Sus scrofa: one gene and its partners. The protein of the gene in region 1 interacts with the protein of each later gene in a pairwise test. Links are inferred from orthologs where the notes say so. Each region holds a gene or a part of one and is shown on either strand. Other genes may lie near its edges. The genes, in order: NME7, CCHCR1, NAB2, FOSL1, C4H1orf189, FKBP6 and KRT18.

Evidence for each region.
Region 2: the proteins of NME7 (region 1) and CCHCR1 interact in binary tests that used the Homo sapiens proteins (3 or more experiments, as listed by UniProt). The link is inferred for Sus scrofa from reciprocal best matches to the Homo sapiens genes NME7 and CCHCR1.
Region 3: the proteins of NME7 (region 1) and NAB2 interact in binary tests that used the Homo sapiens proteins (3 or more experiments, as listed by UniProt). The two-hybrid records come from large-scale screens. The link is inferred for Sus scrofa from reciprocal best matches to the Homo sapiens genes NME7 and NAB2.
Region 4: the proteins of NME7 (region 1) and FOSL1 interact in binary tests that used the Homo sapiens proteins (3 or more experiments, as listed by UniProt). The two-hybrid records come from large-scale screens. The link is inferred for Sus scrofa from reciprocal best matches to the Homo sapiens genes NME7 and FOSL1.
Region 5: the proteins of NME7 (region 1) and C4H1orf189 interact in binary tests that used the Homo sapiens proteins (3 or more experiments, as listed by UniProt). The two-hybrid records come from large-scale screens. The link is inferred for Sus scrofa from reciprocal best matches to the Homo sapiens genes NME7 and CFAP141.
Region 6: the proteins of NME7 (region 1) and FKBP6 interact in binary tests that used the Homo sapiens proteins (3 or more experiments, as listed by UniProt). The two-hybrid records come from large-scale screens. The link is inferred for Sus scrofa from reciprocal best matches to the Homo sapiens genes NME7 and FKBP6.
Region 7: the proteins of NME7 (region 1) and KRT18 interact in binary tests that used the Homo sapiens proteins (3 or more experiments, as listed by UniProt). The two-hybrid records come from large-scale screens. The link is inferred for Sus scrofa from reciprocal best matches to the Homo sapiens genes NME7 and KRT18.

The regions. Positions count from the first base shown.
Region 1 is NC_010446.5:81,638,580-81,642,706, forward strand, and holds the start of NME7 (nucleoside diphosphate kinase 7), read left to right. Parts: upstream 1-1,327; 5' UTR 1,328-1,459; coding exon 1,460-1,462; intron 1,463-1,598; exon of another isoform or gene 1,599-1,728; intron 1,729-4,127. UniProt on the Homo sapiens protein: Possesses an intrinsic kinase activity. Displays 3'-5' exonuclease activity with a preference for single-stranded DNA. Does not seem to have nucleoside diphosphate kinase activity.
Region 2 is NC_010449.5:23,555,310-23,559,568, forward strand, and holds the start of CCHCR1 (coiled-coil alpha-helical rod protein 1), read right to left. Parts: upstream 2,801-4,259; 5' UTR 2,658-2,800; intron 2,322-2,657; exon of another isoform or gene 2,111-2,321; 5' UTR 2,071-2,110; coding exon 1,897-2,070; intron 1,692-1,896; exon of another isoform or gene 1,626-1,691; coding exon 1,559-1,625; intron 1,481-1,558; coding exon 1,267-1,480; intron 1-1,266. Other genes in the region: TCF19 (transcription factor 19), read left to right, coding at 3,968-4,205. UniProt on the Homo sapiens protein: May be a regulator of keratinocyte proliferation or differentiation.
Region 3 is NC_010447.5:22,398,944-22,403,074, reverse strand, and holds the start of NAB2 (NGFI-A-binding protein 2), read right to left. Parts: upstream 2,801-4,131; 5' UTR 2,528-2,800; coding exon 2,445-2,527; intron 1,003-2,444; coding exon 129-1,002; intron 1-128. UniProt on the Homo sapiens protein: Acts as a transcriptional repressor for zinc finger transcription factors EGR1 and EGR2. Isoform 2 lacks repression ability.
Region 4 is NC_010444.4:6,428,758-6,432,957, reverse strand, and holds the start of FOSL1 (fos-related antigen 1), read right to left. Parts: upstream 2,801-4,200; 5' UTR 2,552-2,800; coding exon 2,462-2,551; intron 482-2,461; coding exon 284-481; intron 1-283.
Region 5 is NC_010446.5:95,529,716-95,533,940, reverse strand, and holds the start of C4H1orf189 (uncharacterized protein C1orf189 homolog), read right to left. Parts: upstream 2,801-4,225; 5' UTR 2,743-2,800; coding exon 2,710-2,742; intron 2,412-2,709; coding exon 2,371-2,411; intron 550-2,370; coding exon 420-549; intron 1-419. Other genes in the region: C4H1orf43 (chromosome 1 open reading frame 43 homologg), read right to left, coding at 3,825-4,020. UniProt on the Homo sapiens protein: Microtubule inner protein (MIP) part of the dynein-decorated doublet microtubules (DMTs) in cilia axoneme, which is required for motile cilia beating.
Region 6 is NC_010445.4:10,668,144-10,672,374, forward strand, and holds the start of FKBP6 (inactive peptidyl-prolyl cis-trans isomerase FKBP6), read left to right. Parts: upstream 1-1,431; 5' UTR 1,432-1,758; coding exon 1,759-1,815; intron 1,816-2,016; coding exon 2,017-2,134; intron 2,135-2,543; coding exon 2,544-2,633; intron 2,634-3,438; coding exon 3,439-3,641; intron 3,642-4,231. UniProt on the Homo sapiens protein: Has an essential role in spermatogenesis. It is required to repress transposable elements and prevent their mobilization, which is essential for the germline integrity.
Region 7 is NC_010447.5:18,216,304-18,220,485, reverse strand, and holds the start of KRT18 (keratin, type I cytoskeletal 18), read right to left. Parts: upstream 2,801-4,182; 5' UTR 2,697-2,800; coding exon 2,301-2,696; intron 1,549-2,300; coding exon 1,466-1,548; intron 1,163-1,465; coding exon 1,006-1,162; intron 492-1,005; coding exon 327-491; intron 224-326; coding exon 98-223; intron 1-97. UniProt on the Homo sapiens protein: Involved in the uptake of thrombin-antithrombin complexes by hepatic cells. When phosphorylated, plays a role in filament reorganization. Involved in the delivery of mutated CFTR to the plasma membrane.

The DNA of each region.
Region 1 (4,127 bases):
TGCTGTTGTGGCTGTGTTGTAGGCCAGCAGCTTAGCTCGGATTCCACCCCTAGCCTAGGAAACTCCAAATACTGCGGATGCAGCCCAAAAAAGGGGAAAAAAAAAGGTATTAAAGTAATTACCTTCTCAGGAGACATGGACACTATTTTGTTCACTACATGACAGAGGAGCTTCTGTTTAGATGTTTAACAAGTGACAAAAAATTCATAATAACTTAATTTGCATTTCTTGGTAAAAATTAAAATGTCATAGCATATATTTTCAGAATGTATGCATGACCTTACTAAATCTTAGTCTTACTAAGATTCAGGCGAGAACATGAGAAGGAAGGTAATACTAATGCAGTGATCACGAATGATGAACCAGGCACTAGATGACAAATGGTTTCACTCACAAAAATGATAACTCTTGAGTACTCGATATAACTCAGCATAGCGTCTTCCGTGCCTACCTTCCTTAAAAGTCACACCCCCGCCGCCACTGTTCTGAAAAATAGCTCTCCAAAGACCCTTCGCAAGAGCAATGAACCCTCGGAAGATGCGCAGGGAAATGTACAAAGGTCTGCAGGCAAATACTAATTGAAGGGGGTGGGGGTGGGTCTGGAGTGTGTAACAGGTATGAAGGTGGCAGGAGTGGAAGCGACAATCCTGTCAACCTCTGCCATCCCCAGAAGTCAAATCCAAAGTTCCGTCCCTGTCTGAACAAACCTTCCTGGAACAACGGGCAACCTTTCCTTAAATCTAAAGCGACTGAATGAACAACACACTTCAATCCAAACCTCTGTCCCTTTCCAAAATCCCCTCTCAGTTACACAAGCCCTTTCCTGGACTTACCTCTCAGATTCTTACTCTCCCAATTGCAGGGGGCCTCACTTTACAGGTTCTTTGGCTAGATATCACGGGTTAACTTCCGCGCACACTCCTCTAGCATTCCGAAGCCGATCCGCCCCAACCTTGGGGACATCAAGCTTTTGGTTCACGGCTAATTACTTCCGATTACTCAGGGTTTCGTTTCCGGAATACTTTTCAGAAGGAAAACACTTTTGGTGCCATTTAAACTCAAGTGACGCAGTGACGCAGAATATACGATTCAAGACTTCAGTAAAACAAAACTGGGTAGACTCTTATTAAAAAATAAAAAAAAGAATACTTGGACCCTAGCCGCATATAAGCCTGAACTTCCGGGTCGCCTTTCAACCAAACGGAAGTGATGATGCTGGAAAGAGGTAGGTGGTGTTCCGTTGCTCCAAGCTACGGCGTGAAGGGGCGGGTCGGTCGGCTGGGTGGGCGGAGCTCTATTTACTCCCAGCCACTAAGGACAAAGGGGCGGGGTAGTGGCGGCCCGCTCCGAGTCCGGCAGTAGGTGGGGCTCTGTTGCCAGAGTAACCTGGCGTTGGTGTTGGTGTAGGTGTTTTCCAGTCGCAAAGTTACCTATTTCCTGGTGCTGAGATCCCGAGGCGATGGTGAGTGCAAGGCGGTGTCAGAAGAAAGGCATCGCGGTCTTGTTTATGCTTTGTCCCAGGTCCTGGGGCGTCTGGGCGTTGAGAGGCATCCAGATCGCTTCTACCTTCGGCTGGTTATTTCTTTGTCCCTTTCCAGGAACTGTCCGTGCAATTTCCTCGCTTTCCCTACTTCTTGCAGCACCCTGAATTACACTTTGGTCCTGCTGAGCCTGTAGAGTATTGTGACAGGAAGTTTAAGGCTAAGACACGGAGTCTAGTAGTCTGAGGTGAGACCTTATTTCGGTCAAACATTGGAGATGTATGCATTTTTCATCATTGCATTTTTTTCAACCTCTCAGCTTCACTTTAACACGCTTCATTTAAAAGTATGTGGTGATGTTTATTTGACTTTTTCATGACTGATCCGAATCTCTCTGAATCCTGTAGTCTTTGCTCTCTTGAGGGCCGAGTACCGTTCCACACCCTAAGGGCCACCTAATAATAGCTGCATTTTGCACTAGCCCTAAATTATACAGTTGATTACCTTTTAACAGGAATACTCCATAATATCACTTGGAAATCACTTCTGGAAAATTCACTTGCTAGAGCTTCACCTTCAGAAATTCTGCATGAATAGAAACAGGCTCCATATTTGCATTTTTAAAAAAGCCTATAGATGATTTTCATTCGATCACATGTTCGAGAATGCCAGGTATGGCTATGAAATTAAATATGGAGACCCACCCAGAGTTCCCGTTGTGGCTCTATGCATTAAAAACCAGAGTAGTATCCATGAGGATGTGGGTTTGATCCCTGGCCTCGCTCAGTGGGTGAAGGATCTGGCATTGCTGCAAGCTGCCGCTTAGGATTTAGCCAGAACCTGGCATTGCTGTGGTGTAGGCTTCGGATTGGACTCCTAGCGAGGGAACTTATATATGCCACAGGTGTGGCTCTAGAAAGAAAGAACAGCAACAACAAACAGAGATCCACCCACCACCCCTTCTTTCTCTGTTAGGTCTTGTGTTTCTAGTTCAGAGAAACAGGTATTGAAGGATAATGCTTCCATCTTTGCTCTAGATTTTATTCCCTCCCATTCCTTATAGGACTTTCTGCTTTTGGTTATATTTTTTTCTTTCCTGTGCTTTCAGCCTCTTCCTCACCATTTCCTTCTCCCCCCACCCCCCCCCCCGTGTTCAAGCCATACACCTTAAGAAAATGAAATAAAACAAAAGCACACCCCCAGCCTGTGTTCGTTCAGTTTATTGCCTAGTCCTCCCATTTATCAGTAAACTGCTTGAAAGCATAGTGCTTCCATTTGTATCAAATTCAGCTCTTTACTTTCATCCTCAGCACTCAGTTATCTGAATTCCTCTAATGGCTTCATGAAGTTGTTCTTGCTTAAATTTCTTATGGCCAAATCCAGGAGTTTCTTCTCAAAATTTATTTAGCCTCTCTTTGATAGATGAAGCTCATCATCATTCATTCCTTCTTTTTTTTTTTCCCCACTGGCTTTGCCTACTTTTTAAATGCCATTCTCTGGGATTCATTCCTTAATTTCTTAGTCTGTCCATTTTCTTTGGCTGATTTCATCCACACACAAGTGTTCCACTAATGCCTAAGCATTCATTCTTAAATTTCAGTTTCATCTCAGACCTGGTAAGCATTCATTCTTAAATTTCAGTTTCATCTCAGATCTGGTAAGACCTGGACACTTCTAGCTGGTTACCACAAAGGCCCCTCAAACTCAACCAAAACTGAACTTGCTGTCTTTTCACCTGGCTTTTTTTGTTTCACCAAGTTGATGCTACCACTATATTTATAACCTAAACCAGAAACCAGAGTTTTCCTACACTCCTTTCTCTCCTATGTCTTCTCTGTTCAGTTGGTCACCTGATTCTGGTTTAGTTTCAGATTTCCTCAATTCTTTTTTTTTTTTCCTTCGCTTTTTTTAGGCCTTCACCCGAGGCTTATGGAGATTCCTAGGCTAGGGGTGTAATCAGAGCTACGGCTACCAGCCTATGCTTCAGCCACAGTAATGCCAAATCTGAGCAGCCTCTGCAACCTACACCACAGCTCATGGCAACTCTGGATCCTTAACCCACTGAGCGAGGCCAGGGATAGAACCTACAACCCCATGGTTCCTAGTTGGATTCATTTCCACTGTGCCACGACGGGAACTCCGAGATCTCCTCAGCTTTTGCTTGCACTGTTGTAGTAGTGTCTTTAACACTCTGGTCTGGTAATTCTTCAATTCATTATTTTCTCTACCACAAGAAGGAATTTACTGAACCCTAAATCTGTTGATGTTAATTACCGCTTTAGAACTCTAGACTCCTCATTCCCAACAGTATAAAAATTCAGCCTATCTGGAATGGCATACAAAGCCTTCTATGATCTAGGACTTAACCTGTCTTGCTTCTGTCATGAAACTTTCTTAGACATTCTTTTAGTTACTTGCCTTTTCATTGAACATTCCAAGCAACTGCAAACTGGTGGTAAGCCTCTTTCCTCTACTTTGCACATGCTGTTCCTTCCACCTGGAATACCTTTACTGCCATGTTTGCTAGCCAAACTCCTATTGATTCTTCATTCCTAGGTTAGGTGTTTTTCTTCTTTCTCTACTCAGAGAGAGTTGACTCTTCATTCTTTTTTTGTCACAACTTTACACAGTACACATTTCTCTTAT
Region 2 (4,259 bases), on another chromosome or scaffold:
GAGCCATGATGGGAACTCTGACTTCTGAATTCTGATTTAAGGGTGAGGAAAAGTTTGAGGAAGGTGCAAAGAGAGGTCACAACTTCCAGTGTCAATATGGCAGGGCCAGACGCTAGGGGAAAGTCATATATTGAGTTCCTGCTGGGGAACAATAGATTGGCTGCATCTCTGGAGCACTGGGATGCAGGTTCAATCCCTGGCCCAGCATAGTGGGTTAAGGATCTGGCATTGCTGCATCTGTGGCTCAGATCTGAGTTCCTGGCCCGGGAACTCACTATGCCTCAGGGCAGTCAAAAAAAAAAAAAAAAAAATCAGTTGAGTGTTAGGTACTCATGAGATGTCTGAGAGGGTAGCACTTCCAATAAATTACATAGTCTCAACCAGTCTACTGGTGTCGCATAAAGTTTAAACCAGCTTATCCCATGGCTCTTGACACAGCTTCCTCACTGAGGCCCAGAACAGCATTTTTTTGTTGCTGTTCAAGAAGCAAAGATCTGCAGCCTAGAGTCATTAAGTGACGGCCAAAGGACTCCCAGCTGGTAGCCACATTAGCCACAAAGAGTCTGACTCTCACTCCAGTGCTCCCCTTTTGTCATCATGCTCTTTTCTCTTTGATGGGATCCAAGGTCGACCCATCTGCAATCCTGCTCTTGAGCAAAATGGCAGGATGACGTTCCAATACATTTGGGAGAAGACACCCATGAAACATCAAGAATGAGAATTTTCACAGGTAACACACTGACAGATGGCACGGACAGCTCCCTCAGGACGAATCCTCGCTACCACAGCACATGGCCTGTTCTCCCCGCAGGTACTGCATCTTACCTTATTCTACGCTTAATACAATCGGCTGTGGGTCAACCTATTTCCTCCCTTAGAATTTTTTTTCTTTCTTTTTTGGCTGCACCTGCAACATGTGGAAGTTTTCAGGTCAGGGAGCGAACCTGTGCCATAGCAGCTACCTGAGCCACTGGACTTACAAGGCTGGATCCTTAACCCTTTTGACACAAGAGAACTCCTTCCCTTAGGATTTTAAATTCCATGATATCAGGATCTTTCTTTTTTCTTTTTCAGTTTTGATACCCCTGTCCCTAGCATCAAGCACATCATCTTATTATTATTTGTGCACTGTAGGCACCAACAATTGCTTATGTACAAATGAAGAAATCATGGAATGAAGGGCTGAAATAGGGTAAAGGAATCTATTTCAGTGAAGAAGGGACAGTGGCAAGCAAGCCCGAGAAAACAGCAACAGGAGATCCCTACCTGCCTCGCCACCCTGGCTCCTGCCCTTTGCCAGAAACTTCCTTTTCCCACATGGTCACTTGAGGTCTCTGGTTGTCTGACAGCCTCTCTAAGACATCTTGATGGGCCGGGGGCTGGACCAAGGGAATGTCTGAGACCCAAGGGGGAGCCATTCTCGGCAGAGTTGGATGGGGCCGAGCTTGGAAGTGGGATGGGGGTATCAGCCTGGTGGAACCTGAGGAATCGTAAGGACAAAGATGGTCAGTTTCCCAGGGGGACACAATCACCAGTTCCCTTGCAAGATCCCACTGACCTGAACGTCGAAACATCTCCATATCATCTGAAGTCTCTAGATTCTGTGTCCAGTCATCTATGTTCTCCTGGACAATAGGAGAAACAAGGACACTCCAATTCAATTTTCAAGCCCCCTTCCAAAGAGAGAGCCCCTACAACAGCAAAGTCAAAAGCCTTAAATAACAGCCAGGGATGGCCGACTCTTAGCTCCTCTTTTCCTACTTCCCAAAAGAAGCAGGAAATATCTGAAAATCACTTGCTTGTCTCAATCTGGTTCCTAACAGAACTATGGCAACAGCCACGAGATGGAACAAATTTACTGAGACAGGCTGGGAAGCTCTTAGGTTTTGTTCATACTTGTAGAATTCTGGGCAGTGCCTTTACCCTCCTCCTTAAGTTTCTACAGTCTCTGCTGTTCCTGGATGGAGATGACGAAGGTGTGCGGTGCAGGGGCTGTGAGCCCAATCGCCGGAGTTCTCTCCATGGCTCAGCAAGGCCTTGGGGAAGCCCATCCAGACACCACCAAGCCATGACTCCTGGGTCCTTCCTTATCAAAGCGCTGATCCAAAGCCTGGCCCCAGATGAGCATGGCTACATGTAGAGCAGGACACCTATGGGGCCCCCAGGGAATCCAGGCAGCCTAGACCCCTTGGCAGAAAAGTCATCTCATCCAAACCCTTCCAGCAACTCCCTGCTCAGTTTCTCTCTACTGTCCTCTCAGTTTCCATTCCTGTCTCCCACCAGCCTCTCCAGAGCCCCAGACAAGAGACGGCTCTTCAAGATCTCCCCACCCTCCCACCCGAATCCATCTATTCCCCCCCCCAATCTGAGATTCCTATGCCCCTCCCTACATCCTAATTTGCTTTGATCCAGAAGGAATTATTCTGGTCCCCCACGCTCATCTCTCAATTCAATTGCCTGCTCTCCCTCCCGCCTCTCCCGCAGATACTCCTGAGCCTTCGCCCTGCTGGACGAGGAGCTCTAGGGCTGTTCTGACCACTTCATTTGTCCTTTTACCCGGACCCTGTACCCCTCCACCCTGTGGACCCCTGAACCCACCCCCGCACCCCCTCTTGGCCCTTCCCGCCCCCAACCGACTCTTCCCGAATACCCCTTACCCAGCGCGAGCGACCCCTCTGCCCTTTGACCACACCCCCTACCCCTAGCTCAGAAGCGCGGCCTCAGCCCCTGACCGCGCCTGCGCAAAGCGGGCAGGTTGGCGGGACGCTCTAAAGCCCTTCACCCTTCCGGGAGGAGGAGGGGAAGAGGTGTACGCAGGCGCGGTAGTCTAAAGCCCGGCCCAATTATGGCACTGAGGGCATCTCCGCGCCCTGGCGGCTCCTCCCAACTCCGGGAACCCGGGAAAACTTGTGAACTAATCAGAAAAAGCGGAAGGCGGGAGATCGGAGACCCTCCCAGCGCGTCGCCCAATGGAGAGAAGGAGGGCAAAAGAGATGGCCAATCAGAAACGGCACGGGGGGCGGGCTCTCTCGGCGCGAAGTTCAGACCCGGGAATTCCGAAGGCGGGGTCGGTACTGCCCGCGCGCGGAGACGGCGCCCCTCCTGGCCCCGGCTTCCTCGCTGTCAAACAGCCGCTGGAGCACCAGCCCTGGCCGGAGCCTGAGAGATCCTGAGCTGCCGCACAGGCTGGCACTGCCCGGAGAGGGGACCGCTTCGAGACTGCACCTCGCGGTAGATAAGAATCTGGATTGCGGCGGGGAGGGAAAAGGCTGGGTTTCCCTCGCATGATCCCGGGAAGCCCTATCCTGTCTTTAATCCCACCTGGAGAAGTCGGGAAGCAGGGGTTTAGATCCGCTTTGTTAGAGAACATAGAGACCCATTTGCACTGCCTTTGGAGGGATGACAGTGGATAGACTTCCCACGGGGGTTTAAGCTATCTAGTTATGAGTGAGGGGTTGGCCAGAAGAGCGAGGCGCAGGCTAGCAGGTGGGTTACTCTGTTTGGATTAGCAGAATTGACAGGAAACTTCTCCAAATTACACTGAGGTGACAAGTTAGTATCACACAGAAGCAGGACCCCAGTCCTCCCCCCTTGCAATTCGCATATTCCCCAGAAGCTGCCTAACGTATTGTTGCCTGGCACAGACTTGAAGGCTCCCGGAATATTCTGCAGCCTGAGGATCTGATTCAACTTCGTGCCATAGGACATCTTCGTCTTTGCACTATACTGGGACCCTCACGAAATTTTTCAGTTGGAAAACTGTTGACAGCCAATCTTGCATCGAATCCTAGGCCCTTGCACTCTGAATTTACACTATTCGGGGAGCGTGCCCAAGGTTGAGATTGCACAAAGCACAGTTCAACTCTGCATCAGAGGGAAAGAGAACTTAGGCCAGCTGTGCATGGCCCAGGATTGGGAAGTGATGGATTCCTGAAGTGGAAGAGGTGGTGCAGAGGGGGCACCGCCCATGCTGCCCTGCTTCCAGCTGCTGCGCATAGGGGGCGGCAGGGGTGTCGACCTTTACACCTTCCACCCCCCAAGTGGGGCTGGCTGCACCTACCGCTTGGGCTGCAGGGCCGACCTGTGTGATGTGGCCCTGCGGCCCCAGCAGGAGCCCGGCTTCATCTCGGAAGTCCACGCGGAGCTGCACGCTGAGCGCCGGGGTGATGACTGGAGGGTCAGCCTGGAGGACCATAGCAGCCAAGGTGAGGAGTGAGCAGAGCAGCCTTATGCCTGGGCAATGGCAGTTCTGGGCTGCA
Region 3 (4,131 bases), on another chromosome or scaffold:
GGGAAGGGATCAGGGCCTGGGGTCCTGGTCAAGGTCAATGAAACAGACTTGGGGAAGTGATCATTCTCAGAGATGAGTGGGTCAAGGCCTGGGAGTCAAGAGCACTCCTGGGAGGCTGGGATCCTTACCTCATGTAGGCTGAGCTGCTTGCCCTCCCGCCGCTTGGAGTCAAAGCGGCCATAAATGATGCTGTATTTGCGGATCTCCTCTTCCTTCTGGCTGTCGTTATCGTCCATCTCAAAGATGTGCCCCACGCTCCGTGCCAGCTTCTTGTTCAGCTTCAGCAGGGACGTTACCTCCCCAGCATCCCCCCTCGGGAAGCTTCGGAAGATTCTCTCCACGCTCTCCACCACCATGCGTACCATCTCTGGCTCCAGCCGATCCGGACCGCCCCCAGCCCCAGCTGCTGCCAGCCCCCCAGCCCCAGTCCCCTCGGGGACTCCTCCCCCTGCAGGTGGGGAGAACGGGGGTGAGCCAGACTCGTCTTCTCCTCCTGCCCCAACATCGGACTCTGGAGTACTCCGGCCTGGCCAGATCCGGGGGTCCCCTGCCCCAGGTCCCCCGGGCAATGGTGACAGCTTCTCTCCAAGTTCAAGGGGGCTCTTAGGGCTAAAACTGCGGGCACTGCCCGCCTTTTCCCCAGGACTGCCATGCCCGTTGCTCATGCTCCCCTTCCGGGACCCCGAAGTCTCAGAGATCTTGAAGAGCGGAATGCTGGAGACGGGCACGGCGGGCACTGGCTGGCTGAAGAGCCCTGGATTGGTGGCCCACTCTCTTAGTGCCTTCTGTAGGCGTCGGACATGGAGAGGCTTGGTGGCCATGCCCACGAGTGCCATGATCTCCAGGAACTCCTCCTCACCCGCCTCACACAGTTGCTGCACGTCGTCCCCTCCCTGCTGGATGAAGGTCTCATAGTAGGAAAGGAGATTGGCGCGCTGCAGGACCCGGTACAGCTGCAGCTCCCCCAGTGTCCGAGGCAGGGCCATGGCTCGGGCACTGGGCCTGAGAAGGAGGCACAGGACAGAGAGGGGATGGCGGTCAGTGCAAGTCCTCCTTGCTGGGTACGAACACACGTTCACGGTTGTTTTCTCTTTCCCACCCCTCTTCCGAATGCTCTCTCTGCCCAGTGCCTAGGTCGGAGCCCAAACCACAAGAACCAACCACTGCTCAGAGTCACAGCCATGCTAATGCCATCCCAAACTGGCCAGAAGTACTAAAAACCATACTGGTCTTTGTGGAAGTCAAAGGCTCTGTTCCCCCATCCTCAACTTTTACTTTTCTGGCCTGGCACAAGGAGACCTTGCGCGCTGAAGCCAGCCAGCACACCCCGGTGATGGCTGGACCACCCTCTCCTCCAGAACACAGTCCTCGTCTTCCCCCCAAACACCCAGCAATCTCAACATTACACAAGTTAGCTTCCCACACTGAGGTGAATGTATGAGCCCCCACCTCCCTACAATGGACACCTGGGCAGCTTTATTCTCTGGTGGCATTATGCTCATGTGGCTGAGGCAGAGGGTGTGGCTTCCCTGCCCTTTTCAGCTCAAGGAGCCAAGCAGACCCCTACTCTGCTACCTTTTCCCACCTCTGCTAAGCCTTCCCCAAGGATTAGGCATTTTCCTGCTGTCTCTCCCCAGAACCTCCCCCCTCTTCCAGACTGCCCAGTGGCCCTCGGTTGGTCCCTCTCCCAGCAGTGACCTTCCCACCTGCTCCAGAGGTAGGCCCATCCCTTCAGCTCAGGCACAGGGGAGGGGAGAAGTGCCTCAATTGTTCTGCTTTGCGGCCCGTTCCGCCCACACACACTCCCACGGTGGTAGCGTCCGTGGGCGAAAACCGCCGGGGGGCTCCCGCCTACCCCTCTCTCCCTTTTTCCATCCACATCTTCAAGTGGAGTGGGGGAGCGACTCAAGGCCTCTTGAGGGAGGGGCTGCACACCGAAACTCCCCTCCCCACTCTGTAAATAAAGGTACGGAAATGGAAATAGACGCCTAAGGCACGTCCTGCTCCTGCAGAGCCGCTCTGATGCGCTCTTGGTTCAAAGGCGCCGACTTCTCCCGACCCCAAAGCGGCGCGCTCCATGCCAACCACAGATTGTGCCAGCTGAGCGGCTCTTCCCCAGCACTGTTGCCAGCTAGAACTCCAGGGCTTCCCCTGGCACTTAGGAGCCCCCACATTCTTTGCAGGGGCTCACAGGCCAGGTCATGCTCACAGAGTAAACGAGGAATGGAGAATTAGATACTATTCCTTCACATCCAGCTTCATCAGATCCCTGCCTGCTCCCATGGCCCCCTAATTCGAAGGCGCACCCCCTTTCCATCAGTCTCCACCCCCCACCCCCGTCCCTCTTCCCCTAGTCCTCTCCTCGACCTCCGCCCTCCGGACCCCTTTCCCCGAGTCCAGCTCCACCCATTTCCACTCCCCGCCGCTTCCCTTTGCCCACTTACTTGAGTCTGGGCTGAGGGGTCCGGCGGGCGCTGTCCCCTCCGCCCGGCGGCTGCTCGGCAGTGGGGGAGGGAGCTCTGTGCATGGACGGCTGGAGACCACCGGGGATGCCCCTCTCAGTGTCCGGCGCTCGGCGCCTTCTGTGTGCTGCGATCTTCCTGGCGCGCGAGGCCGTGTCCGCCGCTGTCCGGGCTCCGTCCCTTCCTCCACGTCTCCTCTCTCCGAGCCTCCGCGCCTCTGTCTGTGCCTCTACCCCCCCCCTCCCCGGCTGCGCTTGCCGCCTCTCCGCGCCTCCGCCCCCGCAGGACGCACGGGGAGCGAGGCCCGGCGCAGCACTGGCTGCCAGGCGGGCGGAGGGCGTGGGCCGAGCCGGGGGCGGAGGCTTGTGGGCGGGGGGCGGGCGCCCGGGCCTCTCGGCCGGCGGTGGAGAAGCCTCAGCAGAGAGGCGGAGAGAGGCGGAGAATGTGGGGAGGGGGGTGTGGAGCAGGAGGCGGGGGCGGGGACTCGGCGCCAGGGCGCCGAGTTGGGGACTAAAGTGACCGAGGCCGGGCTGTGGAAGGCGGGCTTGGGGACTCAGCGGGCGGGGCGAGGTCGCTCGGAGCCGCCTACGCCGGATGCACAGCCGGCCTTCTTCGCGCCCACGTACCCACGTGAGCGCCCAGCCGGCGACATTCTTACTCCCACTCCTCCTTCCCCTCTGAGCAGAGAGCGGAGTTTCACAACCACGCACAGGTACACAAAGACACAGAGAAGCACACCGACGGGCACACGCGCCTAAACAACTACCCGGTCGCCTGCTGCCCACACTCGGGCTTCGCGGTGCTATACGTGTGAATGTTAGGAGTGAGCCAGGAAAAGTTGGGAGACTGGGGTGCGCGGCTCCTCTCGTGGGTGCTTCTGACTCCCGTAGAGTGTGCACTTAGGACAGATCTGTGAACGTGGAGCTCTGCAGGAATCCCTCACAGATCCTCGCACTCTTCCCAAACCACGTCGAAGTTCGGGGAACAGAAATGGGCGGGGTTTGCCATAACCTGCTGCTTAGACGCGCGTCTATTAGTCGCGCTGGGTTGTTAGTGCTTAGGTCAGGCAAGGATGGGAGGGGTATCCTGCCTTCTTCCGCTAGTAGCATCCTATTTGCTGAGAATGGGGACCTACCTCTGGGGAATTCTGTGTGGCAACTTTGGGAGGAGGATACCCCTTCTAGGGACGTCTGTGAAGGTATTTCGCCGGAGTCAAGTGGGAGACCGGCGGAGGCCGGGCGCGTCGGACGTGGCTCCCTACCGACGTGGCTCCCTACCGAGGAGTAGGAGGGAGGAGCTCCTTCAAGGAGCTTTGCCCCTCTCTGCCACCCACCATCCCTCCCCTTTCTTTTTCCCAGCCCCATCTGGTTCCCATTACACTCCCGCCCACGGCTGAGAGGGCCGACTGGCGGGGTCTCTTAGAGCCCGGCCCAGCGGCTCTACGCCCCGAGGAAATGAAGGAGGAGGGGCGGCAAAATTCCCCCTAATCCAAAATCTCAGCCCCACCCATCATTCAGCACTTCTGAGTGGCCCGGGCCAGCAAGGAGTGGGTAGCGTGGGCCAGGGCTGGTTCTACATTCCGGCCTGGCGAGGGGACCCTCCCGTCTCCGGGTGGGACAGGAGAAGAGAGGTGCACCACTGGGGGGAATTTCAGTAGCCAAGATTCTCT
Region 4 (4,200 bases), on another chromosome or scaffold:
CCTGGAAGGGACATGCAAATCTCTCTATGCAAATCCCACCTATATTTCTCAGCTAATATGCCTCCACCTCCAGGAAGTTTTCCCTGATCCACCAGTGACCACTTTGCCTTCTGGGTCTCCCCAGGGGCTCTTATCACTTTCTGCCTTGGCCAGTAGTCACCAGTGGACCTATTCTCCCCACCCTCCTTCTAAGCCTGTGTTCTGCTTTTCAGCAAGAGCTTATCTTTTTCACCTCAGCAGCCCTGCGGGCACAGGAACCTGTGCAAATGCCTCTGCTCCTTACCTGTTCACAGTGCCGGCGACGCACTGCCGGAGTTGGCCCCAGAGCCCGGATGACTCCCGGCCGGGGTTGTGGGGGACTGTACTGGGGGTACGCCAGAGGCCTGGGGTAGCTGCTGGGTCCCAGGAAGTGAGGCTGTACCATCCACTGCAGCTCCTGGCTGCCACTCACAGCGTTGATGCTTGGCACGAGGTGGAACTTCTGAGGGATAAGACACAGAGGACTAGGGATGAGGTCTGTAGGGACGGAGGGGCTTCCAGGGGACAGAAGTCACACTGCTGCCCACCCTCAAGGCAGCTGCTGGTTCTGAGAGACCAGAGAGGGCGCAGCTTGGCAGGCATCCCTGCTTATGAACTGTGTGACTTTAGGCAGGTCACACAACCTCTGGGGCCTCCATTTCTCCCATCGGAGCTAAGAAAGTGTGAATTCCAGGCACTGGCCCAACGACTTTGCTAATCCTGACTCATATAATTTACACAACAGTATCTTCATTTTCAGACAGGAAAACAGTTCTCCATAGACGCACAGCCAGTAAGTGGGAAGCAGGTTTGTGCCCAGGAAGCCAGGCCCTTGCCCACTCTTGCACGCAGCCTGAGTCTCATCAGCATGAAGAGGAGAGTGACAGCTTCTGGCTTCAAGGGTGATTGTGAGAATCAGGTGAGAGGATGTGTGTGAGAGAGCCTGGTAAGTGTGGACAAGGACCACTGCTCTGGGTTCAGGCTATCCCGGCTTTGATCTTAACTCAGCCATTTACTGGCTCTCTGGGCAAATTATTTAATCTCAGTGTGCCTCAGTCTCCTCGTTTTTAATATTGTCACAGGGAGGGATTACAGCATTTCAATGATGCTAAGAAGTACCCTTTAGTGGCCCTGAATAGCAGCTCTCATAGTTCAATTGGCAACTTGAAAACAATTTTTGTGCTACAAAATAATGATGGGTTTTAGTATCAGTGGGGTCTTAGATTCTAGGAGTTAAGATAAATGAGGCGGAAACTGCCCGGCACCAGGCAGAGCTGCACAGTATGTGCTCCAGGTATCACCTGCCACAATTCCCTTCCAGCCAGAAACGTGAGGAATGGGTTGAGATGGGGGCTTACTGTTTGGAAAAAGAACTAGATTCAAGCCCTGGGTGTGGGCGCCCAGTCGTCCGGGAAGCGCCCCACAAGCCCAGACAAGTCAGGACAGCAGTGTCCCCGGCTTAGTGCTGCGGGCCCAATGGCCCAGTGACCCCAGTTTCGGGCCAAGGTACCGCCGGCGGCATCTCCAGCTCCCGAGGTTGTCCAGGCCCGGGCCCCTCCGGGCCAGGAAGGGAGGGGCGCCCCGCGTGAGTCAGCCACCGTGACTCGGCTGCCGTGACTCGGCGGAACGGACGCCGCTCCTTCCCTCCCCTAGCGACACGTGCTCACGGCCCCTCGACAGGAAATGGGCACCTGCAGCCTCCCAGGTTCCCCCCTGCCGGCAGCGGGCGCCGTTTGGTGCCGAGAGCCGGGGGCGCGGGACTTGCCCGCAGCCTGACCCCGCGCACGTCTCCCTGCACCTCACGGTCTCTGCCGGACGCATCCCGTAAAAGGGTCAAGAGCCGGTCTCCCGGAGCCCACCAGGCTCCACTGCGCCGAGATGATGATAAGGATCTGGCGACGGGATGGGGAGGGACAGACAAACGGGCGGGCGCCGGGATGATCACAGACAGACCGCCCAGGATTCCCAGTCTGCCGGGTCCAGCCCGCCGGTAGATCCTCTCTGTGCGAGGGGACATCTCGGCCGCAGCTCAGACTCCGGCTCTTGGAATTTAGTTCTCTTTGATTCTGCCGGGACTAGAACTCATCCCGGACAAGGGGTCCCCTTCGGACGCAGATGGGACAAAGAAATCGGCGGTGGACAGGAGGAAGGAAAGACGGTAACAGAGACGGAGGGACGGAGAGACCGCAGAGAGAGGGGGAAAGAGCGCGAGCCACAGAGGGGACGTTCGCAGATCTTCGTTCCCCCCCCCGCCGCGCGCGTCCCACTGGGCTGTGGGGGGAAAAGAGCCCTTGGACAACCGAGAATGGGCAGGATCCGCTGCCACCCCTCCGAGCCCCACTCCCTCCTGCGGTTCCCGGCCCCGGTCCGGATTGTGCTGGAGCGGCCCGCACCGTCTCAGGCGCTGTCCACCTGGGGACACTGGGCGTAGGGTTCCTCTCACCTGCTGGCCTGTCACCGGGGGCTGCGCCGGGCCGCCGTACGCACCTCCGGCCCCGGAGCTCGGTCCCGGTTCCCCGAAGTCTCGGAACATGCCCTGGGCTGGCTGCTCTGTGGGGTCCGTGTCGGCGGCTCTGGTTCTGACTCACTCGCTCCTCGCGGAGTCTTTTCTTTTTATGAATGAAAAGTCCTCGGGCTGAACCACTTCCACTGGGGCGGGGGGGGGCGTTCCTCAGCGGCGCTGGTCACCTCGGGGCTCCACCTCTGCAATCGCACCGCCTTTTGCCAGTCCGCCCTGAACTTTTCGTCGCCTCCTACAGCCGGCTAGCCGCTTTTTGGTGGGGAAAAAGGGCGGACTTGACGTCCCCCTGCGACAGCGGCAGGTCCGCCTCCTCTGACGTAGCTGCCCATACATGGTGCAATTTCCTCGCCGCGCCCAGGTGGAGCGAAGGATTCCCCCGCCGACGGAGGCACCTGCGCCCCGCCCAGCCCCGCCCCGCCTCGCCTCGCCCTCCACCTGCGCAGACCTAGATCCCGCCACCAGATCCCAGAGCCCTCAGTGTTTGCATCCGTAAAATGGGACGAAATAATCACACAGCGCCCTGGCCGCGCGTGGGAGGTTGGAATGAAAGGGGTCTGGAAACTGTAAAATGGGTTACAAATGTGATAGCATTATTATTATCATCATTATCATTATTTACTGGGTGCTTATTTCATGCCAGGAACCGTGCTACCGCCATCCAAGTCTGTGGTGTGAAGCCCTTTCACTGGCGTTGTCTTAAGGTTCAGGTTTACTAAAAAGTGAATGACAAACCAGGATTACAAAAGTGGTAGATACACACACACACACACACACACACACTTATTTGGCTGTGCCCGTTGGTATGCAGAAGTTGCCAGGCCAGGGATGGCATCCTCACCACAGCAGCGCCCCAAGCCACAGCAGTGACAGTGCCAGATCATCAACCTGTTGAGCCACCAGAGAACTCCAAAAATGGTGTATATTTTAAATGTTTACAATGACATGATAATGCTTTGAACTATCCCCAAATACTATGCAATGTAATTGCCCTACTCGCAGGGTAATTTCAGGAGTCAGGACAAGTTTTCATTCAGAACCTCTGTAAGCAGTGAAAGCCTGCAGTGGGGCACTTGTCCTGTGGTCTGATAAACATCATTTTCTTTAAATACTGTAACTACTCTTCCAGGACTGTGTGGTCACTAGCCTTGTTTGGAGATTACATCAAAAGTCTGTATGAATGTGAGGCCAGGGACAAATATCAACAGCCGAAGACCAGCAGCGCTGCGAGGTAGGTGCCATTATCGTCCCCATTTTACAGATGGGGGAAGTGAGGCTGAGAGATGTGGAAATGAAGGGCCCAAGATCACTAAGCAAGTGGCCGAAGCAGGTTGCCAAATCAGGGCTGTGGGAGCTCCCAGCCCAGGTTTGGGCAAGCGATTTCAAAGCCCTCACAGACAGCTTTTCACATATGTTGGTGCTGAGAGGACCGCCCCAAAGCTGCTTCTCTGTCTCTTCCCATTCTACAGATGAGGAAACTGAGGCCCAGATGAAGTAAGGAGCCGCCAGGGTCACTTGAGAGAGAGCTGGACGCTCCTGCTTTCCACTGGTACCTCCTTTTGATCAGTTCCAGCTTTGACCTCAGGGAAGGAGGATTTCAGGAAGGTGGGATCCTGGGCTGCTGTCCTTGGGGACAGAGGCCAAGGTCTGTAGATGCGTTCAGG
Region 5 (4,225 bases), about 14 Mb from region 1:
CCACATTCAGCAAATATTTGCTAAGGACATTCCATGAAACAGAAAATTTTCTAGGTACCTGGGATACAAAGATGGTGACATGACAGGAAATGGGGACTCCAGGGAGAGAGAAAGAGGTTCTGAGAGGCAGGTGCTGGACACTAAGAAGTAGTTTTGAGTCTTACCAAGGTGAGAGGAGCAAGGACTAGACTACACCTTGGGACTTTAGAATGTGCCATCTGCAGCTAGATGTAAAGAGTCAGTGAAAAATAGCCTTAGTTTTAGGGTTAAAGAGTTACTGCTCTGGTGTGATGGTGAAAATCTCAGAGGCAAATAAGAGAGGTGAGTAAATGGTGGAGACTGAGAACTTGGGAATTCCAGTGGGCAAAGGCACAGGGCAGTAGAGGATGAAACTTTAGGTCACTTTTGCCAGAACTCACCATCAGTAGTTGCTTGTTAGCCAGTGCCAACTCCTGTACCACGGTGTTTTGCATCCTTAGGATGGCATATGGGTTTCTCCTCTGGCTTAATGTCATCTGCCACAGACAGTGAGTATGTGAATTTTGCCACCTGCCCCAGGCATAAAGGTAGGGTTGAATGGGTTGGCGTTAGGAGTGGAGACAAAAAACCCATCAGTGAGGTTGCTTCTTCACCAGAACTTCTGTGCTAATGTCAGAAGCCTGCAAACTCCTTGAAAGGGTAACTAGATACATAAAAGGAATATACCTACGTCCCTCTCTCTCTCACGTTTGTATCCTCTGTTCAGACAACCTTTGCTGACATTTAAAAAAAAGGGTTTTTTTACAGATGGCTGAAAAATTAAATCCATATGGGAAATATATATGTTAAATGAAAAGTGAAAGCTTCATTCTTCTGCCCCAGTTCTTTTCAACAGTTATCAGTTTCTTGTGTATCTTTCCAGAAAATTTTTCTATCATATGTCTTTTAATTTTTCAACATAAAATCATATATTTACATAAGCAGTATCAATTCACAATTTGGATTTTTCATATCAACACATAAAGATTTGCTTCAGTCTGTTTAAAGATTGCCTAGTATTTTTGTATCATAATTTAACCATCTACGTTGTTTCTAGCCTTTTAATTTTTATAAACAATGCTGTCATGAACACTCTTGTGAATGTACATTCTAGTGCTTTTGCAGATATATATGTGTAAGGAGATAAAAGTTGTCAGTTCAAAGGATATGCGAATTTAAAATTTTGATAGATTTCACCAAACTACCTTCATAAAAAAGGCTGCATCAATCTTGACTCCCACTAAAACTATAAGCATACTTGTTGCCTGACATCCTTGCTAAATCTGGATATAACCAGTGAAACCTTAAAAAACAGGTTTATCTGGGAGTTCCCGTCGTGGCTCAGTGGTTAATGAATTTGACTGAGAACCATGGGGTTGAAGGTTTGATCCCCGGCCTTGCTCGGTGGGTTGGGGATCTGGCATTGCCGTGAGCTGTGGTGTAGGTCACAGAGTCGTCTCGGATTCCGAGTTACTGTGGCTGTGGCGTAGGCCAGCAGCTGCAGCTCCAATTGGACCACTAGCCTGGGAACCTCCATGTGCTGCGGGAGCGGCCCTAGAAATGTTAAAAAAAAACAAAAACCAAAAAAACAAGTTTATCTTATTTAATCCCAGACCGTTTTAGTCAGAACATTCTGGGTTAACACCTGTGTGTTTTTAAAAGTTCCACAGGTGGAGTTCCCATCATGGTGCAGTGGTTAACGAATCCGACTGGGAACCATGAGGTTGCGGGTTCGATCCCTGCCCTTGCTCAGTGGGTTAACAATCCGGCGTTGCCGTTAGCTGTGGTGTAGGTCGCAGACGCGGCTCGGATCCTACGTTGCTGTGGCTCTGGCATAGGCCAGCGGCTACAGCTCCAATTCGACCCCTAGCCTGGGAACCTCCATATGCCGCAGGAGCAGCCCAAGAAATGGCAAAAAGACAAAAAACAAATAAAATAAATAAAATAAAATAAATAAAATAAAAAAGTTCCACAGGTGATGGAAGTACACAGCCTAGTCTTTTGATTCTTCCTATTCATTTGACAAATACTTAACTGTATACCAACCACATGGTTAGTACAATGCCAGAAAACAAATAATTGAATTTTCCTTAAAAAACAAAAACTTGCCCCAATTTTCCTCCAGAGAATGGGAAGCAAGGGGTTATAAAAACCATTGTCTATATAGCCTAACCCGATGTCCACTAGGCTTTTCTGCTTTTGAGAACACGGGCTGCTTCTTGCCCCCTCCACACCTGTTTGCCTTCTTGATGAGCCCCTAACAAGATGGAACAGATCCGAGAGGTGCCTTCAGAACAGGAGGGTGAAAAGGTCAAGCTGCAGTGTAAGGGAAGGGATAGAAGCAGAGATTACCTGTCCACCATCTTCTTCAGCCCCACGGCCCTTTGAAAACTCTGCAAGAAAAGGGAGTTCTGTTGACCTGCCTTGATCTCCAGTACCTCACCCTTAGTACCCCAACGTGATGGGAGACACAGTCCTCTTTTGAGAGAGGTAGTAGCAAACTTCCTATGGGAGGTGAATGCAACGAATATTTGAATTATCTACTACGTGCCAGACATAGTCTCCCAGTCCTTACCATCTTTGTTACATCAGGGGCCTCTATTGAGAAATGGTCCATTTCTGGTAAATTTCTCTGTAAATCTCACTAAAGGGAAACTCCTCCAACCCCACCCTGCTTCCAACTCTGCATACCTCTTCTACTTTTACCATCTTTTCCATAGACATGTCCACAGACTCGATATGGTCTTAGGAGACGGAGCTGGCTCTCCTTTCTGTTTAGTCCAGTCACGAGGTTTCAGTAGTCATAGCAACATTTATGGCTCCAACAATGACCCCTCGGCCTAAGTGTTGATTGGTCACCTGGCCTGCTGCCCTGGAGACTTGAAGGGAATCCTGGTTCGCCAGCCTTCTATTAGTGTCTCAGGCAATTCTATGAGCAAGGACCATAGTCCTAATTTTAGGCTTTCTTCTTTTGGGGTCCCAAGGAGTATCTATATGCTCCTAGGTCCAGAGAGCATATCATATACCTTTTATTAAAAGGCAATTGTAAAGGAATGAATCGCATGCTTTATTTTTTAACTCTACATTTTATTAAATAATTTATAAAGTCAGACCAGTATATTGGTCTTACCATTCCTTCACTCACACTATCCCCAAATGAGGGGGGATGGAATTTGTCAGGTGTCAAAACATTCCCTTTCCAATTTATTCATGACAATATGGAATGAAGTGGAAGGCAGATCCTTGCATATCAGGAAAGTTATGTTAATGGTTCAACACAGCCTGATTTAGATGGAGCACCAGAGTAAGTTCCACATACCACTCATGGCCTCACCTAACCTCCCCACCAGTTCCTATATGCTTTTTCTGTTAATCAACTCTTAGGTGTCTCAAACCCAAATGGTTCCCATTCAACTGTGTACAAAGGGGGCGATCCAGAAGACAAGACACCAAGCCCCATCACCCCAACTCTCACCCTCAGGATTTATTTATAGTCTGGAAAAGAGCAGATGAACCATGATCAAAATCAAGTGAGGATTTTCAAGGAACCTCTGACAGAAAGATTAAGAAAAACATATGAATTCAAATCCAGAGAAAAGTGCTACCAAGGGAAAATAAAGTCTTAACTGATGCTCTGAAACTGGCCAGAGGAAAGCATTGGAGAATGATCTTCTAGGCAAGAGCTCTAAACACAACTGGAGCGTCAGCTGATCCAGTCTGGGTTGCTGAGCCAGATGACCTGAGGGCTGCCGGGCAAGCACGCTGCAGTCTGTCTGGCTCCATCAACAGAGAGTCCTTCAGCCGCATCACAGAGTACTCTCCAATGTGTTATAGTTGTCCTTAAAGCTCTTCAATTCAAGGAAGTGCTTGGCACGTTTACTCTTCTGGCTGGAGGGGAGGTATGTCACCTGGATGGTTGTTGGGGAGACTTCAGGAGACTGGGTTAGGTCTTTGGCTGCTGACTGGTGTTGTCGCTGAGAGCTCCCACTTCGTGCTTTGACCCTAAAGAACACAGAGAGGGCAAGTCATGGGCAGAACAGGCCAATGGAAGAAATCAATTCAAGGCTTATCCACTCTATAAATTCAACCACAGCCATACATGTTCTCTGTCCTACCTCATAAACTAGTTAGTAATAAAATTCTATCTGGTAGCTTAGAAATAGCAGAGAAGTCAATTTTCCCACTGAATCCCTGGCTCTGGCTCAAT
Region 6 (4,231 bases), on another chromosome or scaffold:
CCTGATCGGGATGAGAGCCGGGTCCAGTCTGAAAAATAATTGCTTTAACAGCCAGGATAATCTCAGAATTAAAGGTCCCCTCTGATGGCCATCCAACATCGAATGTCGGCCATTCAGAGACACAGAAAGTCTGCCAAGGTCCCTTCTTAACCTGAACTGACAAATTATGAGCCCTGGATTTAACTTCAGTCCAATGGTCGAGAGTCAAACTAAGAGGGGTCGTCACCGTCTGTCCCATATTAAAACTGTAGACAAGGACGCACAAGACAAAGACACACAAAACAGAAACCAACAGATCCAGACACACGCGACCCGTCCGCGTCTTCCACAAGCAGGCAAAAGAGTCGGACGGCCGCGGAGGGGGAAGCTTTCGCTTCAACAACAGAACTCGGTCCTCTGACCGACAGAAGGAGACCACCAGGCGTCCCTGGCTCTCCCCACCTCCCGGGGCGTCCCCCAGGGTGGCAGCCTGTGATCCTCCTAGCACGTCTGCTGATCACAGTCCCCCAGTCCTTACGGTCTGAGAGGACAGCTGCAAACCGAAAGCGCGCATCACCGAAAACAGACACTCAGAACAGAGACGCCAGCCGACACACACACTCACACGTTCCAAAGGGGATCCCTTTACCTCCAAGTCGGTTCTCGGGTGTGAGGGGTAGTCGCGGGTTTCCCGGCCAACGCACCAAACTGAAAGGCCAGTCGAGTTAAAATCCCTCTCGTCCTGACTCGGAAGAGGCGACACCCCAAATCACTCACGAGAAGCGGTCTTGATGCAAACAGCAAGAGGATTTTTATTCCGAGCGCGCTGGGGCCCACAGTCGTACGCCACGCAGGGGTAGAGGACTGCGGCCCCGAGTGTGGAGTCGGGACAGCTTTTATGGGGTTCACAACAAAGCCCGCGCTTTTACAAACTAATCATTTTTAAAATATCGCAAACCAGTCAATTCAAAACTTCGAGAGCCCGCGCTTTGTGGACCAATTAATTTTAAGTTGTTCTGGAGTTACATGTTTGTGCCTGTCTCTGGGTGGGGGAGACATATTGTCACCAAGATATATTTATCAGGATTTTCAACATTTTGTGGCACGCCCGATCTTACTGGGGTCCGTTAGGCAATTGACTTCTCCTCTTTTTATCTTATGCAAGCAGGTTTACAGAAGCCAAACAAGCAGTTAGGAGCAGTTTCAAGAAGTTTCAAGCATAGAGGCACATACTCAGGGGCCTGTTTTTCCCCTTCCACAAAGTTTTGTACAGAGCAGAAAGCAAGCCCTAAAACAGCAAAAAGTATGATCTTTTACCTATAGGGAACAGGGTCTGGAATTCGAGGGCATTTAGAGCTTCTTATTAACTTCCTGGGTTCTGGGAGAGTCAGGTTGCATTTTCATCCTTTCATCTGCACGTGCGTTTCCCCCACAGCAAAGCAGAACGAGGGACGGTGGAAATAACCCAGGGCTGCCAGGCCCGACGCTTCCAGCAGCCCGCCGTTTCTGAGGCCTTGTCCTCACCATCCTGCTTCACCCGGCCCGTGCCCAAAGCTTGGCCACCCCCTGCCCCATTGCTGGTCCTTATTCCTCGCGCCTTTGCCACGAGCCCCGTCAGGCCCTGCTTGTCCTCATCAGACGCCTGATGAGGCTCCACGTGCCCTCAATCTGCGCCCGCTCAAGCTGCGTGCGCCCCGTCACGTGCCCGGTCACGTGCCTTGCCACTCTCCCGCGCGTGCGCGCTCCCTGAGGGCGGTTGGCGGCGTTTGGAGCGGAGCCATGAGCGGCTCTTCGCGGTCCCTGAAAGGAACACCGCGGTCGGGTGCGGACGGTCAGGTATAAAGGGGCGCCGAGCCGCCGCGGAGGGGGGGGGTGCCGCGCAGAGATGGGGGCAGCGCCCGGAACCCGGGAGCCTTGCAAAGGGACGTCGCCCCCAGCCAGGTGAGGGCCCGGGCGCTGGAGAGGCAGGGGCCTTGGCCGCCGGAGTCGGGGCGCCAGCCCCGGGCTCTGAGACTCTGTGTTTCATTCCCCCACCAGTCTCTGTACCAGCGGTTAAGTCAGAGGATGCTGGACATCTCCGGGGACCGGGGCGTGTTGAAGGATGTCATCCGAGAGGGGACTGGAGAGCTGGTGACACCCGACGCTTCGGTGCTCGGTAACGGACCGCAGACCCGCCTGCCGTCCACCCTCGGGAAGCTGGCAGTGCCCAAGTGTTGGCGGGTGTTGGGCACCAGGCTTGGCTCTGCACTTTGATTTTGGAGGCCACGTTTAAAACATGAGTTTTGTTATAATTGGCGTCTTAAGGGATAAGGAGGGAACCCCTTACCCCTTTGTAATGGGACTACGGAGAACAAGGGATCCCACCAGCCCAGCTCTCGAACCTCAGAGCCTGTGGGCAGGCCTCCAAACGTTGAGCGAAGATTTTTCCAATCACTCCTGGTGAGGGGCAGTTTAAGGGCAGCTGGTACTTCCATTATTTTTGTGGGACAATTAAGGAAATTTGATAGGGCGGTGAGGGTGTCTTTGGTCCGTTTACCTCCCACTATCTCTTTCTTCTGTCCCAGTGAAATATTCTGGATATCTGGAGCACATGGACAAGCCTTTTGATTCTAACTGCTTTAGGAAAACTCCTCGGCTCATGAAACTTGGGGAGGGTAAGTTCAGAAACAGAGCTGGAAAAGAAGTGATCATTTGGGGAATTGCCCTAATGAGGGCAACACCCTAAGACCACAGAATGATCTGGAGCGCTGATTCTTTGAGTTGGTTTTCTGAGGCTGGGCTTTGCTAAACCAGCCCTGTTGTCTTCCATGCTTCCCTCCTTGAGACATAGGTGTTTGGGAGATGGCCTTGCTGGCAGAGTTATCTTTGCAGCCTGACTTAAATATTGGGTGCTACACTTTTCTTTGCTAGTTGATTAAGTCAACACCTATTGAATGCCTGCTACCTCCAAAGCACAGGGAAAAGAGAGGAGGTACTGAGGATTAGAAGGTCTGGGGCCAGTGTGGGGGAGGGAGATTAACATATTCCAGACAGCTAAACTGGTGGAGTTTCTAGGAAGTGTAAGCCATATTTTGTGGCAGTGCTCAATTGAAGGTAGAGTTAATTCCAGCTGGGAGGTTCAGGGAAGGCTTCATGGAAGAGGGGGCATTTGACATGATCCCTAACGTTTGAATAGCAATCCCCCCAAGGTAGAAGCTGGGCATGGGTGGGGGCGGGGGCAACACTGGAGGAAGAAGGAACTTCATGGACGAAGGCTGCTGCAGAGCCTAGAGGAGTTAAGGTCTGGGACGGAGGTGGTGGTGGTAGGGAAACAAGGCTGAGAAGCGTGTTGGGACCACAGTGTAGAAAGGCTGGAGATACCATGCAGAGAGATGTGGACCTGGAAGGGGGAAGAAAGTCATTGGCATTGGAACAAGATACTGGGTCGGCTTCCACCATGCTTCTGGTCCCTTCTTCCAGACATCACACTTTGGGGCATGGAGCTGGGCCTTCTGAGCATGCGGAGAGGAGAGCTGGCAAGGTTCCTGTTCAAACCGACCTACGCCTACGGAACACTGGGCTGTCCTCCCCTGATCCCCCCAAACACCACCGTCCTATTTGAGATTGAGCTGCTTGACTTCCTGGACTCTGCTGAGTCGGACAAGTTTTGTGCCCTCTCGGTGGTGAGTCCTGGGGCACAGATGTCAGCACTTAAGAGAGAATGGGATGGGTTTGTATTTCGGTAATTATCCTTATCTGCTAATGATCCTCAGCCCCAGGTTCCACTGAGGCCCTGGGGGGTGGGGGCGGGGAGTTCCCCACTTGTTAGTATTTGTCTGTCTTAGTTCTGGCTTCATGTGTAGGCATGTGTGCTAGGCTGAGAGTCTGCTAGGGACTAGCAGCTTGAGCTGGTCTCTTAGTCACTGTTTGTCTAGCTCTCCCTGCAAGACAGTGAACATTTGTTTCTCAACAGTGGTTTCCAGCAAATCAAGCATTGATAGATCCTGACTAGGGTGACCATATAATTTATTATAGCAGGACATCAGGTGTAAACTGGGACAATCCCAGGCAAACTGGGACAGATGGGTTCTGTCCCCATAACTTAAAAAAAATTGCCTTTGCTTTGTAGTCTTTCACTTAATTCATCCCTTAGAGTTTAGAGCTAGGTCTTCTAATCACCAGCAGTCAGGTCCTGTCCTTGTCATGCTGTTCGCCCTGACTGTCCATGTGGCCTTTGATATCCAGCTCAGGTTTACATATGTATATGATGTCT
Region 7 (4,182 bases), on another chromosome or scaffold:
GATGATGGAAGGGGAGGATTGGGGCTGAGACAGGATTGGGTGACAGAGGTCAGGACCAAGGGTGGTGGGGACAGATGGACTGAGTGAGGGCTCTCACCAGATTTCTCATGGAGTCCAGGTCGATCTCCAGGGACTGGACGGTCCGTCTCAGCTCTGTGAGTGTCATCTCAGCAGCTCCAATCTCAGCCGACTGTGAGGTGACCACTGAGGTGCTCTCCTCAATCTGCAGGGTGGACATGGTGCTCAGGTCCCTCCTCTGTCCTCCTCCCTCCCGCCCCCTCCTGCCTCTGTGCCTCGCTGGGCATCCATCCCTTCCTTTCACGCACCTGCTGGGACCAGTACTTGTCCAGCTCCTCTCGGTTCTTCTGAGCCAGCTCATCATACTGGGCCCGGATGTCTGCCATGATCTTGCTGAGGTCCTGAGGTTTGGGGGCATCCAACTCCACGGTCAACCCAGAGTTGGCAATCTGGTTTTGTAGACCCTTTACTTCCTAAAGGAGAGAGGAATGGAAGTGAGGAGGGGCTGAGGGTCGGAGATCCAGGAAGACTCTTCATCCGGGGCTGCCTCTTCCAGGAAGCCTACAGGGCCGACCAGACAACAAAGCAGAGGATGCCCTTGACTTTGCTCTCTGGGCAATGCCAGTTATGGGCCTTCTGCTCGAGATGGGTAAATATCACCTGTCCCGCCCATACCTGTCAATCACAAATCAATCACAAGTGGTTTCTCTCACCTCCCTTCGCCCTGTTCCTCCGTCTACTGATCTGCTCCTTGTATCTTTCTCCATCACTGCTTGCTTTTACTGCTCCTGTTTCAACCCTTCCCGCTGCACCACAAGGGAACTCCTCATCCATATCCTTTTGACCTCACCACATTCAGGTGAGCCACCGAGCATGGCAAGAATCTGATGGAGATGTGCTCAGGCTGGTAGTTCTAAATAAGAATCCTTGCAGGGGCCCTGCTCCCTCTACTCCCCGACCCAGACTTGTCTTGCGGCCCCTGCTTGCCTCCTCGTGGTTCTTCTTCATGAAGAGCAGCTCCTCCTTGAGAGCCTCGATCTCTGTCTCCAGCTGCAGGCGAGTGACATTGGTGTCATCAATGACCTTGCGGAGCCCGTGGATGTCGCTCTCCACAGACTGGCGCATGGCCAGCTCCGTCTCATACCTGTGGGAGTGGAGGTGATGAGAAGGGCCTCGTCTCTGATCCAGAACCTTCTCAACCCAGGCCACCTCCTAAGAGCAGCTGCATGACCACTGCAAACCAGCCACCTGGCTCAAGAATCAGGCGATCACAATCCTCAGAGCACAGTTCCTGGCAGTTGGGTACTGGCACTTGGGTATGAAAACTGGGGCTCATGAATAAGTGAACTGACGGAGCCTTACTCTCACTCATCCAGCTCCACCTACAGCTGCACAAGATCCCACTGTGAACCCCACCGGATCACAGCCCCCAGCCCCCCATCCTTACTTGACTCTGAAGTCATCAGCAGCGAGACGGGCATTGTCAATCTGCAGAACGATGCGGGCATTGTCCACAGAACTTGCAAAGATCTGGGGGGATGGACAGAGAGGTTGCTCGGTGAGTGGGAAGTTGATGGGGAGGGCTGAGTACGTTGGGAGGTGTCATGTGTCTCAGTAAAACAACCTTCCTGGTCCCCGGGTAACCAGAGGCTCTCCTTGTATACCTCTCCTCTTCCACCTGTGCCCCCTCACACTGTCCCCTCCTTTCCTGGAGTCCCAAATCCCAGCGTTTCCCACCTCCTGCTGCCCTTCCTTTCCAGGCCTCCACTGGCTGGCCTGCCCAGAAACGAGCAGCTGCTAAAAAGCCTGCTCCTGGCCTTCTCCTAGCATTTCTTGCGAGAGCACCTGCTCAGTGGCCCCCCTCCCCCACTGGTCTCTCCCACAGGTAGGCCTTCTGTTTGCTCCTAGATGACTCAGCTTTAGCCACATCCGCTTAACCCCTCCAGCTGTCCCTTCTCCGCTCCTGTTTCACCTCCTTCCATGCTGTCCACTCTTTTGCAAATGCCCACCTCCCCTTCCGGCTCTCTCCTGGGGAAGAGCCCTTCCTGCTCATTCACCACCCTTGGGAGCCCGGTGGCCAGAGGTGTGTAAGGAAATCTGGGGCATTCCTAAGCCCCCCAGTCGGAGTTGCAGGAGGGGTGGGAGATGGGGGAAGGAGTGAACGTACCCCACTCTGTTAGAATTGCTATCCTTGGGGGAGGGGGAGGAAGAGGGAAGGCAGCCGACAACTGGAGGATCCATCAGGGCTGGGAGTTGGGGCTGCTCCCTCCTTGCCCTCTTACCTGAGCCCTCAGTTCCTCGATAGTCTTCAAGTAATGACTCCAGTCCCTGACCTGGGGTCCCTTTTTCTCCAGGTGTTCCCGGATTTTGATCTCCAGCCTCCGATTATCAGCCTCCAGACTCCTCACCCTCTCCAGGTAGGAGGCCAGGCGGTCATTCAGGTCCTGCATGGTCTCCTTCTCGCCCTGGATGCCCCCGACACCCACCAGACCCCCGGCCATCCCGGCCCCCCAGCCGCTCCCGCCCCGGACGCTGCTGGAGCGGGACACGGAGATCCGGGAGCCCGAGCCCCCGGCGCCTGCATAGACGCTGGCCGCGCTGCTGACCGGTCGGACCCGGTGGCCCGGCGACTGCACGGACCGGTAGCTGGAGAAAGAGGACTGGGTGCTGAAGCTCATGTTGCTTATTCCGCGAGGGAAGAGCGAGACCAGAGCTCAGGTGCTGGGCCGTGGAGGGTGTTAGGTTCGCAACTCAAGTTATAGCTCCGAGGGAAGGGGAGGGGACCTCCCGGACAGGCTCCGCCCCTGCCACCGGAGTCGCTACGGAAGCCCGGGTCACAGGTGAACAGCGGGGAATCATCGCCCATGGTTCCTGACCCTCCCCAGCCTTTCCCCGCCCCCTCAGCCCTGCCCTGCCCCGGCCACCCTCCACCCTGCGGGAAGGGGGTGAGTGAGCGGGATGGAGACCCGCAAGGGCAGCAGGTGAAGGTGGCTCTGGCAGCTGTGCTTTCACGGCAAGAAATGATGATATTGTACCCCCACCCTACCCCCAGGGAGAGGAGATCCAGCCTGTGAGAATTTGGGGGATGAGGGTCCGGAGAAGAGTGTGTCTGCTTTAGCTGGGCTCAGCCTGCACCCCAAGTTCCCACCTGCAGGGGACATCTTGGGGAATCCTAGAGCCCCCAGAGTCCTGGGGAAGAGAAATGCCATCCTGAGGCTCAATTTGGCTGGTTTACACGGGTCCCCACCTCGGTTGATTCCCCAACAGTCCTCCTGCATCCTATAGGCGGGTATTGTCAATTACCCACAGACACCTTCACTCACCAATCATGTTCAGACTCTGGAAAACAAACTCATTCTCTGAACGGGGTCTCCTTTCCCCTCTTCCCTCAGCTCCATCCCAGGGAGGCCTGGCCTCTGGGAAACACTCAGTGATTTGAACAGGGGACTTGTCCTCACTTTTGCACACTTTTGTGTTTCAGCCTTACCCACACCCTTGGGTAAAGAAATAATAGCTGGGCACGTACAGTTCAACAGATATTTGTTGGGCACCTACTGTGTGTCAGGCTCTGTTCTAGTTGCTGGGGAGCAGTGGTGAAAAGACGCCGGTAATCTTCATGGAGCTCTCCTGTCCGAGAGGACAGACACGTGCACCTAGAAACATTCTAGGTGAGCCTCAGCCTGGTGGTCGGCCCTCTCTTCCTCCTCACTCGGACTTTTTGGCAAGCCCTCTTCCTTTCCCTGCCTCTCCTCAAAAGGTTCTCTGGATCCCAAGGAGTGGGTGGAGGCTGCCTCCTTCTGGAAGCTTCGGCCAGGATATGAGTGAAAAGGCTGCAGGTAGAGAAATTCCCACAGCTCCCTTCACCCCTGAAGCTGGATGGTGACCCCCTGCTGAATGAGCTGGAGGAATCCTAAGGTTCTGGGCCTGTCACCACCAGCAGCTGGTTTGTCAGGCAGGGGCTGGCATTACCTAGCTGTCTGTGCTGTTTGCTCTGCAGTGACCTATTGATTCTTAATGAGCTGCCAGCTAAACTGAAGAGGAGGGGGCAGACAGGCAAGGAGACCTGGGAGGATAGGTGCCCTGGGGAGTAGCTGGGTCAAAGGACCAGCCAGGGGGCAGGTGCAGCTCAGATGAGGGGCTTGGCCCTGGATCATCCCAGGCCTG